Bombyx mori: one gene and its partner. The protein of the gene in region 2 interacts with the protein of the main gene of each other region in a biochemical or structural test. Links are inferred from orthologs where the notes say so. Each region holds a gene or a part of one and is shown on either strand. Other genes may lie near its edges.

The links. The genes of interacting proteins can lie anywhere in the genome.
Region 1: the proteins of peroxisomal biogenesis factor 19 (region 2) and peroxisomal membrane protein PEX13 form a complex in vitro, tested with the Homo sapiens proteins (2 studies listed by BioGRID and IntAct, with this or other methods). The link is inferred for Bombyx mori from reciprocal best matches to the Homo sapiens genes PEX19 and PEX13.

What each region holds. Positions count from the first base shown.
Region 1 is NC_085126.1:5,628,086-5,634,860, forward strand, and holds the start of peroxisomal membrane protein PEX13, read left to right. Parts: upstream 1-2,849; 5' UTR 2,850-3,063; coding exon 3,064-3,443; intron 3,444-3,956; coding exon 3,957-4,093; intron 4,094-4,454; coding exon 4,455-4,591; intron 4,592-6,495; coding exon 6,496-6,661; intron 6,662-6,775. UniProt on the Homo sapiens protein: Component of the PEX13-PEX14 docking complex, a translocon channel that specifically mediates the import of peroxisomal cargo proteins bound to PEX5 receptor.
Region 2 is NC_085129.1:20,656,307-20,662,403, forward strand, and holds part of peroxisomal biogenesis factor 19, read left to right. Parts: intron 1-1,004; coding exon 1,005-1,090; intron 1,091-1,764; coding exon 1,765-1,890; intron 1,891-4,343; coding exon 4,344-4,495; intron 4,496-5,039; coding exon 5,040-5,160; intron 5,161-6,097. UniProt on the Homo sapiens protein: Necessary for early peroxisomal biogenesis. Acts both as a cytosolic chaperone and as an import receptor for peroxisomal membrane proteins (PMPs).

The DNA of each region.
Region 1 (6,775 bases), on a different chromosome or scaffold from region 2:
TATATTAATAATTGTATTACAATGCATCAACAATAAATTATATAACTTTTTTGGTATCCTTCATTCATCACTTTACCGAGTATTATGTTTGAAGATTTCAGGTTCAAATTATACAAAATATAATATTATTTGCTTTATATATTTGAGTTACAACGGCGAATTAAACATTAGTCATCTGAAACAATGTCTTAGATTCTTTACTACAAAAGTATGTTAAGACTGTTAAGCCAATACTTTTGCTTTAATGTGATAGCAACACTGAAAGAGAACTCACACATTCTTCATATTTTAATACTAAATAAAATAGTGTATTTTTTGTTTAATAAGGTCCATTTTTGCAGAAATCTATTTTATACTTTTTTTCTTTTTATTCTTAAATGGGCTATGTAGTGAGAATTTTCTTCTTATTAGACAGGCATTGGTGTAGAAAATAATAATTTGGATTGTTAAAATTAAAATTTCATTATTTTATTCATTATATTAACTAAGATTTCCAAGATTGCTTTAATTTATTTTATTACACAATCTTACTGTTGCTATGAATATTACAAGATCTAATTGCTTCACTGACAATATAAGATTTAGTTCTTCTGTATCACAGAATTTAATCTATAACATTAAGCACTGAACTGTTTCTCAATCTATTATTTATTTTTTCAAATTAATTGTAGTTTGAATGTTGAAAGGAGTTAATCTGACAATCTTCCGAAAAATATTGATAATTTTAATCAACGTCAAAGTTCTTTTTGTTTAATTAAAACAAAATACAATTTCATCATTCAATTCATTCAATGAACTTGAAGATTATGAGTACATATTACTATAACATTATATAGGGACTCACTAAAACCAATCGACACCATTTAGCCTATTTTAATTTATTTAGTGGTGAACGAAGTATTGACGCCGATTGGCTTCATTGCATTATCTTTCAGTTATCCCGTCGAATACAATACTTCAATTATATCAGTAAAAACACTATGTTTGTATGCAAAAGTAATATTTGTAAGAACATTCCGAGAGATCTACTTAGAGAAAACATTCTATGAGGTTTGTAAACAACACCACTAGCTGAAACATCGATACGAGAAAAGTTGGTAATCTGCCGAACACAAATCGTATTTTAACGTCTAGAAAATAACTTAATACAGCACAGACACACTTACCGATTAATATAACAATTATTTCTTCGTTTAATAACTTATTTTAATACTGAATGTTTACAATAATTTTGAAAACAAGAGTTTTTCACACAAATTATTGACACTTATCATTAGGCATAGAGCATTTTTATTATAGTAGTAGTAGTTTCATTTTTTCAACTAGAATGACAAAGACATCAAACCATACAGCCTAACCTTTTGTATATTCAATTTTATTAAAAATGATATGACGCGAAATGAATTGAAGGTGATTAATTGAAAAAGATGAAGACACAAATAGGGATGAAATATAAACTGGGTTAAATAGTGGATATTTTCTGAAAATTTTTCAGTGGACTTTTTCAAAAACCTTGAGAAGCTACGTCTAGCGACTTTGTTTCATTTTCTTCTCCTTTCCGTTCACGATATTACGACTTTCACGATATTTAATAGTTATTAAACCACCGTTATTATACATTTAACTCCGAAGAAACACAAAATTAACAAAAAAGAACTATTTGAATTTATGTAAGGTATACACAATTATTTTCTTTCAATTATCTTTCAATTGATCAAGCAAACGAAATGTAGTCAATACGATATTGTTTGTAACAAAAGCCTAATAGTCCAGTCATTTTAGGCCGAATTGGGTGAATACCTCGGAAAATCGACATACCCAGTATATTAACACGTAAAAATTTGTATTTCGGCTTCTTTTTCTTTATTGCTTAGATGGGTGGACGAGCTCACAGCCCACCTGGTGTTAAGTGGTTACTGGAGTCTATAGACATCTACAACGTAAATGCGCCACCCACCTCGAGATATAAGTTCTGAGGACTCAAGTATAGTTAGAACGGCTGCCCCACCCTTCAAACCGAAACGCATTACTGCTTCACGGCAGAAATAGGCAGGGTGGTGGTACCCAACTCCGCGGACTCACAAGAGGTACTACCACCAGTAATTACGCAAATTATAATTTTGCGGGTTTGATTTTTATACACGATGTTATTCCTTCACCGTGGAAGTCAATCGTGAACATTTGCTAAGTACGTATTTCATTAGAAAAATTGGTACCCGCCTGAGATTCGAACACCGGTGCATCGCTCAACGCGGATGCACCGGAGGTCTTATCCTTTAGGCTACGACGACTACATCATCAACGGCATTCTAAAACTAATTTCAAAATTCACATAATTGGATGGTCGCAACTTTTACAGCCAAGGGTCAAAGGTCACAGAAATTGATATTATTTTTTACATAAATTTCGTTTTCTATGGATTTTACCCTATTTATATTTATTATCATTATTGTAGAGAATTAAATATCAACAACTTTTCTATTTAAAGTTTTTTTATACCTTGAACTATTTTTGAAATAAAGGGCATAGAGCTCACGGTCTGAGAATTATATCTGAGATCAACTTGTAGATGGTAGCCCCGATCAAAAACTCGTAATACTAAGGTTAAAATTTATTGCTAAATATATAAATATTTTTTTTATTTACTTTTACTTTAGTTTTAGTCAATGGGGAATTTAGCAGCTCCTACACTAAGAAGCTATTTCTGTCTGTTCTTAAGATTGAAGGGTTTGAAAACGTTAAATTTTGGCAAAAAATGAACATGATCATTTCCTTAATACATTTTCTTTTTTTGGCGAAAACAATTGAAAATTTTAAAATCATTCATCGTAAATTGGTTCCCGTCAAAAATGTCAACTGTCACATTAAATCTAATTTCAACACAACTTTATGCAAAATAGAAGAAATTATATCCAAAATAAATACGTACCTATGTACAATCTGTTTTGTGATAAATATCTAACGAGATAACACTATTGTCACATGTAGTTTATCAGCAAATAAGAATTTAAACAAGAAGCTTACCGCGCAGTAATCTTTGAATTTCGTGTCTAAAAACCGAGAATGAGCGAACCAAGCCATATTCAAAATAAAATGGACTTCGGCTTGGTTAACGCAGGCGCACTAGGTAACATCGGGGAGGCTTCCAATGTTTCCAATTTCCGGAATCCTATAGCATCGACTTCGACCGAAGCGTACGGGCACAGTTTACCCCCTCTGCCTCCGCGACCCGAGATGGGGTATCCAACTGTTTCTCAAGGAATGACGCAGCCGTACGGGGGTATGCAGTATGGGATGGGAAATTATGGTGGTTTCGGATATGGAGGATACGGCGGCGGTTATGGAATGGGAGGAATGGGTGCCATGGGCCTGAATGGTATGGCCCCTTATGGTGCGTACAACCGTTACGGATCTCCACTGGGCTATGGAGACATTGAGAGCAGGTTAGATATTAAAATACTTTTATTATTAGAGCACAACAAAGGAAATTCTCTATAAAGTAAAATTTATTGCTGCACCAAGAAATATAAATAAGAAAATGTCAAATACAAAGCATAAAATGTTTAAATGGAAGTAAATTATGTCTACATACTACAAGAATAGATTCCATTCATAGAGGAAATGATTTGACAATCTATTTTTTTCTTTGTTTTGCCTCTTCACCTCAACCTACATACAATTACATACAATTTTTTAAACTTATTAAACATTTTGATTTGATTTATTGATTCATATTCAACAGATATATTTTACCATGGATACTGGAAACGTACACAAAAGATTAGAATAAATACAGCTAAATTCCAAAACAATGGCAAACAAAATCAAATTAAATACTGTCTGAGTAACAATCAAAACTGAATCAATTGTACAATAGTCAGCATCACTTGACTAAAGAGGGAATGTGTGTTGCTTGATTTCCAAAAATGATATGAAGCTCCTGTATGTATTTACAGATTTATTCAATTGGCAGAGGAGAATTCAAGGCCAGCTTTTGACTCAATACAGAGCTTAGTCAGTGCTGTAGGCAGTATAGCTATGATGCTGGAGAACACCTTCTTTGCTTTGACTAGCTCATTTCGTGCTATATTAGGTAAGTACAGCAACACAATTGCTTGTAAATCGAATTCAGGTGTATTTATAATGCAACAACTGGTGTCACAAAAAAATATCATATCCATACACTGTTACAACTAATTTTTGAAAGTATAATCTTAAAGTTTACCTAAATCACAGTGTTTTGAATAATAATGTGGTTTTTCTTGTTGTATATATGATTATTTGGTAGTGGACTATATAATATAATCTGTTTTAAAAGTAAGTTAGTGTTGATATGGATTTTCTTTCATAACTACATAATTGATTTGTTTCCTTATTGATATTTGGTTGGGGTCATTGTGCCTCCCTTGTGTGTATCCTTTGAGTTATCAATCGAAAACAATCATTTTTGACAGGTGTCGCTGAAAACTTTGGTAGGTTGAGAACAGTATTTGCCCAGTTCTGGTCAACATTTGCAGTAATACGAACACTGAATTGGATTTTCAAGAAACTCCTTGTAATGCTTGGCATTAGATCTGAAACTGAATTTAAGGTAAGGTAATTAATTTAAAATTAAAAGCCCATCTCAATGTTTGTCATATCTGTATTATAAAAAAAATACAAAAATTTACATCTTATATTCTCAATGTCCACGTGATGGAACTACATAGCTAAGTCTGCAAAAAGTATATACTTTCGAAAATATCCTGTACTTTGAAAAACTTTGTACATTTAAAAAATCTACAACCTCTGAGTACCTTGAATTTTAATTTATAACAATATAACCAGAAAATATCAAAGATTTAATTGATAGGTTAGTGTTTTAAACATATTATTTCACTGAATTTATTCTTTTTGAGTTTAGTAAATTGTTATTCTACACTCAAAATTCTGCATGTTAGGACTGAGCTTTTTTTTTTATTGCTCTTGTAGGCAGACAAGTATACAGCCCAATAAAGACTACCAGTCTCATATTATGTATTAGTACATAAAATCAAGAGCCTGTGAACAGACTTATCTTTGTTATAGCAGATACATCCCCCATAGTCTGGGTCTTTGTAAACTTGTTGTACAATGATATATAGTAATAGTTTCAGATTCAGTATTCAGATGCTAAAATATCTTTGAGCCGTATTCCATCCAAATTCGTTCAGGTATTTTTGCATGATTAACATACATTTATACTCATATTTATAAGATTTGTATAGAAGTATGGATATCAAAAACTAGCAGGCAAAGCTAATAAAAAAAAATTAAAAGAGAACACCATCTTTTACAAAGTAATATACCTAACAATATCAATATATGTGTATAGTGGAATTAATTAAATATGCATTATTAAGGATAACTCAAGAACCATTGTTCATATCTTCATAAAATTTAAATGGGATCACATTCCCACGTGAATCAGTTTTAGCAAAGAATAATTAGATGTTCACCTGAAAAAAGGTTCTGAGATAATAAAAAAACACAGTCGATTTGAGAATCTAATCATTTTTGAAGTCTGTAAAAAATAAACTACGTTATTAATTGAAAACTTATAATACAAATTGTTACCGCAACCCGCGGCCGGCATTATGGATAGATTATTAAAAAAAAAAAACATATATTATTGAATTACAATATACAATGTTTTTAATCTTATCCGGTAACGCTAATAGAAAAACATTGCGATAATATTCTTATCAATTAAGAGAGAGAAGGAATCCTTGGGTCCACATGATGAAACATTATCGAGATTATTTATCGGAAACTACATTTTATTCGTTTCTAACAGATAACTCGACGAAATAAATTAATTATCTCTAAGTTTACGACAGCGTGACAATATGTAGAAAAAAAATTATGATAATAATATAATATAGTCATAAAAGCAGGCGAACAGTATTTTTTTTTGACAACGCTACTTTCGAAAAATACTCTTTTTATTCTATAGCCCTTGTTGGCAGACGAACTGATAGTGAGTGGTTACCGTCTCTCATGGACGTTAGGAATGCCAGAGGCAGAGCATAGCTCAATTCGGAAACGACTTGTATTTAAGAAGAAGTAAAAAGTGAAACTTCTCTGCCATAATTCAATTATTGCCATACAGGGATAAAAGAATATTGTTACATAATTTTATATATAAATTTTCAAGCATAATGTTTATAATGGAAGTAAACTATGTGTTACGCACGCAACTACATACGTCACAACTTAAAAATGTCATCTGTTTATCCAAACACGTGAAAAGAAGTCTTATCTTGAATTTTCTGTAATAATGTGTTCTCTTTTTTCGTACCTACGCTGATAGCCTTGAGAGGCTATTTCAGCTTCGCCCTAACGTGTAGGTGAGCTCACGGGGCTCAAACTGGAGTGTTGCTAACACTGGCCCTAGCAAGTGCAGTGCTTCGCAGAATCTACCACCGGATCGCAAATGCGACCCACCGAGTAATGTGTGGTTTGTGTTCTTTGTAGGCGTGGGCGGAGGCGGTGGCAGCCACGCGGGGCGGAGACCAAGCCGCCGCTGAGCGACCGCCCGGTTCGAGCTGGCCCATCCTCCTGTTCTTCGGAGTGATCGCCGCGGCCCCCTACATCGTGCTCAAAATGCTCAGCGGTCTCACGAGCACTATCAATGAGAACCGTAAGTGTTGAGCAAACTTTTATACTAGTGGTAGGTGAGTCCGCACGGATAGGTACCACTACCCTGCCTATTTCTGCCGTGAAGCAGTAATGCGTTTCGGCTTGAAGGGTGGGG
Region 2 (6,097 bases):
GTTGTGACAAAGTGAACGATTGAAAAAACTCCTGAATTAATGAAATTGCCTCGATTGTCTAGTGAATAGTTGGTGTGCCGAATTGCTGATATCGGGTACGGGGTTCGAATTTTAGGCGTGCTTTGTACATACCAACGAGTTTTCGACGAAATATTATGTTCCTATAGTATCTACCTGTACTGAATACCGAGTGTTTTAAACATTAAGAAAAACATTGCGAGGAAGCTTGTAAGACTGTCCTATTTCCAATACATCATATAGTTGAAATTATAGACGTATAAAATATAACAATTATAGGTAGGTAATGAAAATAAAAAAAACTGATTGTAGTTACATACTACTAGTAACATATATTGGAGCACTTTAATACAATTTTATTGTAAAATATAAATAATATTCTTTTATAGTTTGAAATTGATGATTAACTCTTCACACTCATTGTTCATTCATGTGATTGAACGAGAACTGAAGGCATCACTATTACTTTAAATATAGCAACATTATTTCACAAAGTGACATTAGCTACTGTCAGCTGGCTTCGTCTAATTAAAAATACGACTATAGACAAAAATTAAACCAATATTCATGAATTAACAAAAGTATTGAAATGAATGTATTAATGTACCCCCTGTGTGTAATGAGTGTGAGCATGAGTGAGCGTAAGAGGGTGTGTGTGGGTGTAATAAAAAATATTAAAAGTTATTTAATAAAATTTCAGCATCCTTATAGTTACAATTTTACAACCAATTAAAGTTAGAAGTTTTGCATTTGTTGCTTGCTGCTTAGAGGATATATAATATTAGGGTGGTTATTAATTTTATCGTAGAGTGGGACTTCTGTATCTAATTTAAACGTAAAAATAAGTACCCACACTAATTAATACACTACAAAAGGAATATCTGAGATCATACTTTTAGGGTATATAATAATATTATAAATTTTTGTTATTATAAATTATTATTATCAATTATTATTATAAATTATTATTATATTTATACTTTCAGAAGCAGCATCACAGGTGTTAAAGCAAGGTGAATCGAGTGAAACAGAACCAAAGACAGATGACACGGCAGTACCGAAGGCAGATCAGGTAGGTACAGAAGGCTTGATTGTAGGCGTGTGAGATATAACTGGCAGACTTCTGTTTTTTTTATTGCTTAGATTAGTGGACGAGCTTACAGCTCACCTTGTGTTAAGTGGTTGCTGGAGCCCATAGATATCTACAACGTAAATGCGCCATCCACCTTGAGATATAAGTTCTAAGATCTCAGTATAGTTAGAACAGCTGCCCCACCCTTCGAACTGAAACGCATTACTGCTTCACGGCAGAAATAGACGGGGTGGTGGTACCTACCCGTGTGGACTCACAAAACGTCCTACCACCAGTAAACCAATTGTGTGAGGGTGGTCGTGGTCATCATTCACCATCATTGCTGTGGGCAGATGTTTTGTGCCTCAAGAGCAATCGCCATTTCTCCCGGCTTATGGTGAGCCTGGTACACTCATGTAAACAACCGCCAACTCAACAGTTGACTTGACTTGATTGGTCCATCGCAGACAGTATGTGTAATAACAATAAAATATATCTCTTATGATAATTGAATAACATACTAAATAGTATGTGTATGAGAAGAGTTTTGTGTCTACAGCAGTGTAGAACAACTTAGAGAATACTGTAATTTTTGTCGTATTGTGGAAATATTATTATTATTATAATAATATTATATTATCATTCATAATCATCATAGTATCTCTTCTTTTTAGGTCTCGGCAGCCATTTCGCAGACATTACAGAATTTGAACTCCAACTCTGAGAATCTTCAGACGCCTTTCTCAGAACAAGATCTAGCGAACATGTTTAATAATTTCAATTTAGGTGAAGGGGGCCAGGTAATTATTTATTAAAATGTTTATGTATGTTCCATGGCGTACCGTAGATTTTCCCGTTTAGTTGTAAAAGCAAACAAATATCAAAGAATATAGAAATTATAAATTACAATTGTCAGAATGGGTGATGTTCTCAATTTTGTAAATATAATCATTATTTCCGATCTGTGTCTATGTGTGTTTCTGTCCTTTTTTGTAGACTTAATTTTTTTATTAATTATTCAAAGAAATTATATCTGCATAAATAAAAAATACATTATAGATAATCATAAGTCGGTAATAATAATAAATTGGTAGACAGCGGCTTGGCTCTACCCCTCACATTGCTGAAGTTCATGGGCGACGGTAACCACTCGATGCTCGTCTGCATACAAGGCCAATAAAAAAAAATTATTAGAAAAGTCAATAGAGAATAGACAACACACTCAATGCATGGGTTATAAGTGATGCTAAGATAATAATAATATAATATAAATATAAATATTTACTAACAATCACGCCACATTACCTGGTCCCGTACTAAGTTCGTGAAGAACTTGTATTACAGGTACCAGATAACGGAAATAAATGTAAGATTTTTATTATACACATACATATATTTAATAAACATCCATAACCCTGGAAAAGACATTTCTATATTTATCATACAAATATCTTCCCTTTTTTTTTTTTTTTTTTTTATTGCCCTTGTAGGCAGACGAGCATACGGCCCACCTGATGGTGAGTGGTTACCGTCGCCCATGGACTTCAGCAATGCCAGGGGCAGAGCCAAGCCGCTGCCTACCGCTTAATACTCTCCACAAGCCTCGTTTGAAGAAGGACATGTCATAGCGCTCGGGAAACACCGTGGAGGGGAGCTCATTCCATAGCCGGATGGTACGTGGCAAAAAAGACCTCTGGAAACGCACTGTGGATGACCGCAGTGGCTCCAGGTAGTATGGATGAACTCTACTCCGGTGGCGGGCGGTGCGATGGTAAAAACGAGATGCCGGTATCATCTCGAACAATTCCTCAGAGCACTCCCCATGGAACATACGGTACAAAATACAGAGGGAACCGAAGTCCCTCCGCAGACCCAGAGGTTCCAAACGATCCGTGAGACCGGGATTATCGACAATCCGAACGGCCCTTCTCTGTATGGAGTCAAATGGAAGAAGCTGGTATTTGGGAGCCCCGGCCCAGAGATGGGAGCAGTACTCCACGCGAGGCCGGACTTGTGCTTTATAAAGCAAAAGCCTTTGTCCAGGCGTGAAGTACCGCTTCGCTCTGTTGAGGACTCCCAGCATTTTGGACGCCAACTTGGCTTTGCCTTCCAAATGACTCCGAAACTGGACATCGCTCGAAATGTCGACCCCAAGTATCCCAATACTCTCGGAAGGTTGCAGGGATACTCCTTGGAATTGCGGCGCCATGACAAAGGGGTCCTTCTTCGCAGTGAACGCGCAAACTTGTGTCTTTAACGGGTTGAATTGAACCAAGTTCAATTCACCCCATTTGGAGACTCGCCCCAGAGAGTTCTCCACTTCAGACACAAGTTTTGATCGTCTCTCTTGCACCACGCTCCGAGAGAGACTCTGATGGCCGATATATCGCGCATCCCCCGTGCTGTCATCCGCATAGCAATGCATGCCATCAATAGACAGCATGTCATTGATATACAGGATGAAAAGCGTGGGGGAGAGCACCGAACCTTGTGGAACGCCAGCGTTAATGGTCATGGTATCAGAACAGTCACCGTCTACAACGACCGTGATGCTCCGCCCATCCAAAAAGCTAGCGATCCACTTGCAGAGACCCTCGGGGATTCCGTAAGATGGTAGCTTCGACAGAAGTGCCCTATGCCAGACCCTGTCGAATTCCTTCGCGATATCAAGGCTCACAGCAAGAGCCTCGCCCTTGCTCTCCAAGGCTTCAGCCCACCTGTGAGTAAGGTATACAAGAAGATCGCCAGCTGAGCGACCGTGACGGAAACCGTACTGTCGGTCACTGATCAGCTGGCGATCCTCCAGATACTTCAGGAGTTGTATATTAATTATTCGCTCCATCACCTTGGAAAGCAAGGAAGTTATCGCGATAGGCCTATAGCTCGATGGGTCCGACCGGTCACCCTTCTTGGGGATAGGGTGGACGTGGGCAGTCTTCCATGAAGACGGAACCCTGTTAGCGCAATAAGAGATGCGATACAAACGCGTTAGCGCAGGCGTCAGCTCAGGGGCGCACGTTTTCAGAACCACTGCAGGGATGCCGTCTGGCCCGCTCGACTTATGGACGTCCAGGAGTCGGAGTTCCCGCCTGACTGCACACTGTGTAAAGCAGATCTCCGGCAGGGAACTATCACACCGGAGGATGTTCCTCCCTTGGCGGGATTTGAACCCGCGACCCCCTAGTGTAGTGACCATGTCACTTACCACTACACCAGACGGCCGTTCAAGATGTAACGTATTGGTATTTTTCAGGAAGGAAACATGTTCCTGCCCTTCATGCAGGGGATGATGCAGTCGCTCTTGTCGAAAGAAGTTTTATACCCATCTTTGAAGGAGCTAGTCGACAAATATCCAAGTTGGTTGAACGAGAACAAGACAAAGATTGAACAAAGCGAATACGAAAGGTGAATATTTTATGTTTTTGCTGTATCAAAGCGAGCTTAGCTTTGAGGAGGCACCTGGTAATGAGTGCTTTAAATCAAGCCACCAACCTGAAACTGCAGATCAGGACGGTACAAAGCTGCAGAGGACTTCATTGTAGGAGTGAGATATATAACTAGCAGACTTCTTTGTTGTATCACTCTTGTCAGAGCGGTCATGGTCGTTATTCGGATCCTTACTGTCCGCCTTGAGACTTGAGGTCGAATTGTCAATTGTATTGTACAGGCGGTTTTCCTTCAAATCAAAACCCACAGTCATCATGATATTGCAACAGAAATAAATAGCACTACTGGTCTTCACAAACCCACAATAGTACCAGAAAATGTCGGTGCTTGATTCCAGTGCGTTGGTATAATACTTGGAGAATGCTGCTGCTTATTCTGCAGTAAATTCCTTAGTCACCTTGGTCGACATCCATGGAAAGAAATGAAGTACACCTTAGGCTCATCATACTAGGCACTGGAAAGAATTACAAATCTGACGACTAAAAAAACAACTGTTTCCCAGATTCGAAAAACAGCAAACGTTAATGCAGCAAGTATGTGCTGAACTCGAGAACGAATTGGATAGTGACAGTGAAGAAGTTAAGAGAAAACGCTTCGAGAAAGTGTTGGAGTTGATGCAGAAGGTATGTTTGATTATTAATGTCTAAACCAGGGGTGGGCAAAAGCCGGCCCGCGGGCCGGATCCGGCCCTTTTGCTAATTTTATCCGGCCCGTTGAAAAATTCCGCACATAAATTTTTTTAAACTCTTTTATGAGATTTTGTTGACATCAGCATTAAAAAAGCATATGCGGTAAAAAAGCATATGCGGTATAGTCCTCCGGCCCGGGAGACATTTTGAAAATTTCATTTTGGCCCGCGCTTTAAAGTATTTGCCCACCCCTGGTCTAAACGATGGTCTGTTAGGATAGAAACTTCTGAACCTATGAAGCGTATCTGCGTATGATTGGCTCCAGTGAGGATTTCCTGTGGTAGGAATGAATGAGAACTAAAGAACACTAAATATCCTCATCAATGATACACTTATAATAGTGGTAAGACGTCTTGTGAGTCCGCACGGGTAGGTACCACCTATTTCTGCCGTGAAACAGTAATGTGTTTCGGTTTGAAGGGCGAGGCAGTCGTACTGTTAAAAGTGAGCCTTTACAACTCATGTCTCAAGTTAGGTGGCGGAGTTTACGTTGTAGATGTTTATGGGCTCCGGTAACCGCTTAACATCAGGGGGGCCGTGAGCTCGATCAACCATATTCTACAGTAGATCTAGTAGATCTTGAGGCACTCTTCTTATAGTCATTTGGATGACCATTAAATGCTTAGCAAGGTTATAGGGATGGGCTTTCAATCTTATACAGTAGTAAGCTTTAGCTCTATGGATTACTTCATTTTTTACTTTTCTTATGGCAAGATTCTGGCTTAAATAGGTGTTCTATTCTTAATTTCTGCACGCAATGTAACACAATGAACAATCAGCTGATGCTTAGGATCAACATGGCAATAACAATGTGTGGTGTCACTTACTTCCTAAACTGTGTACTGCTGCATGAGCGTGTACTATTCTACCT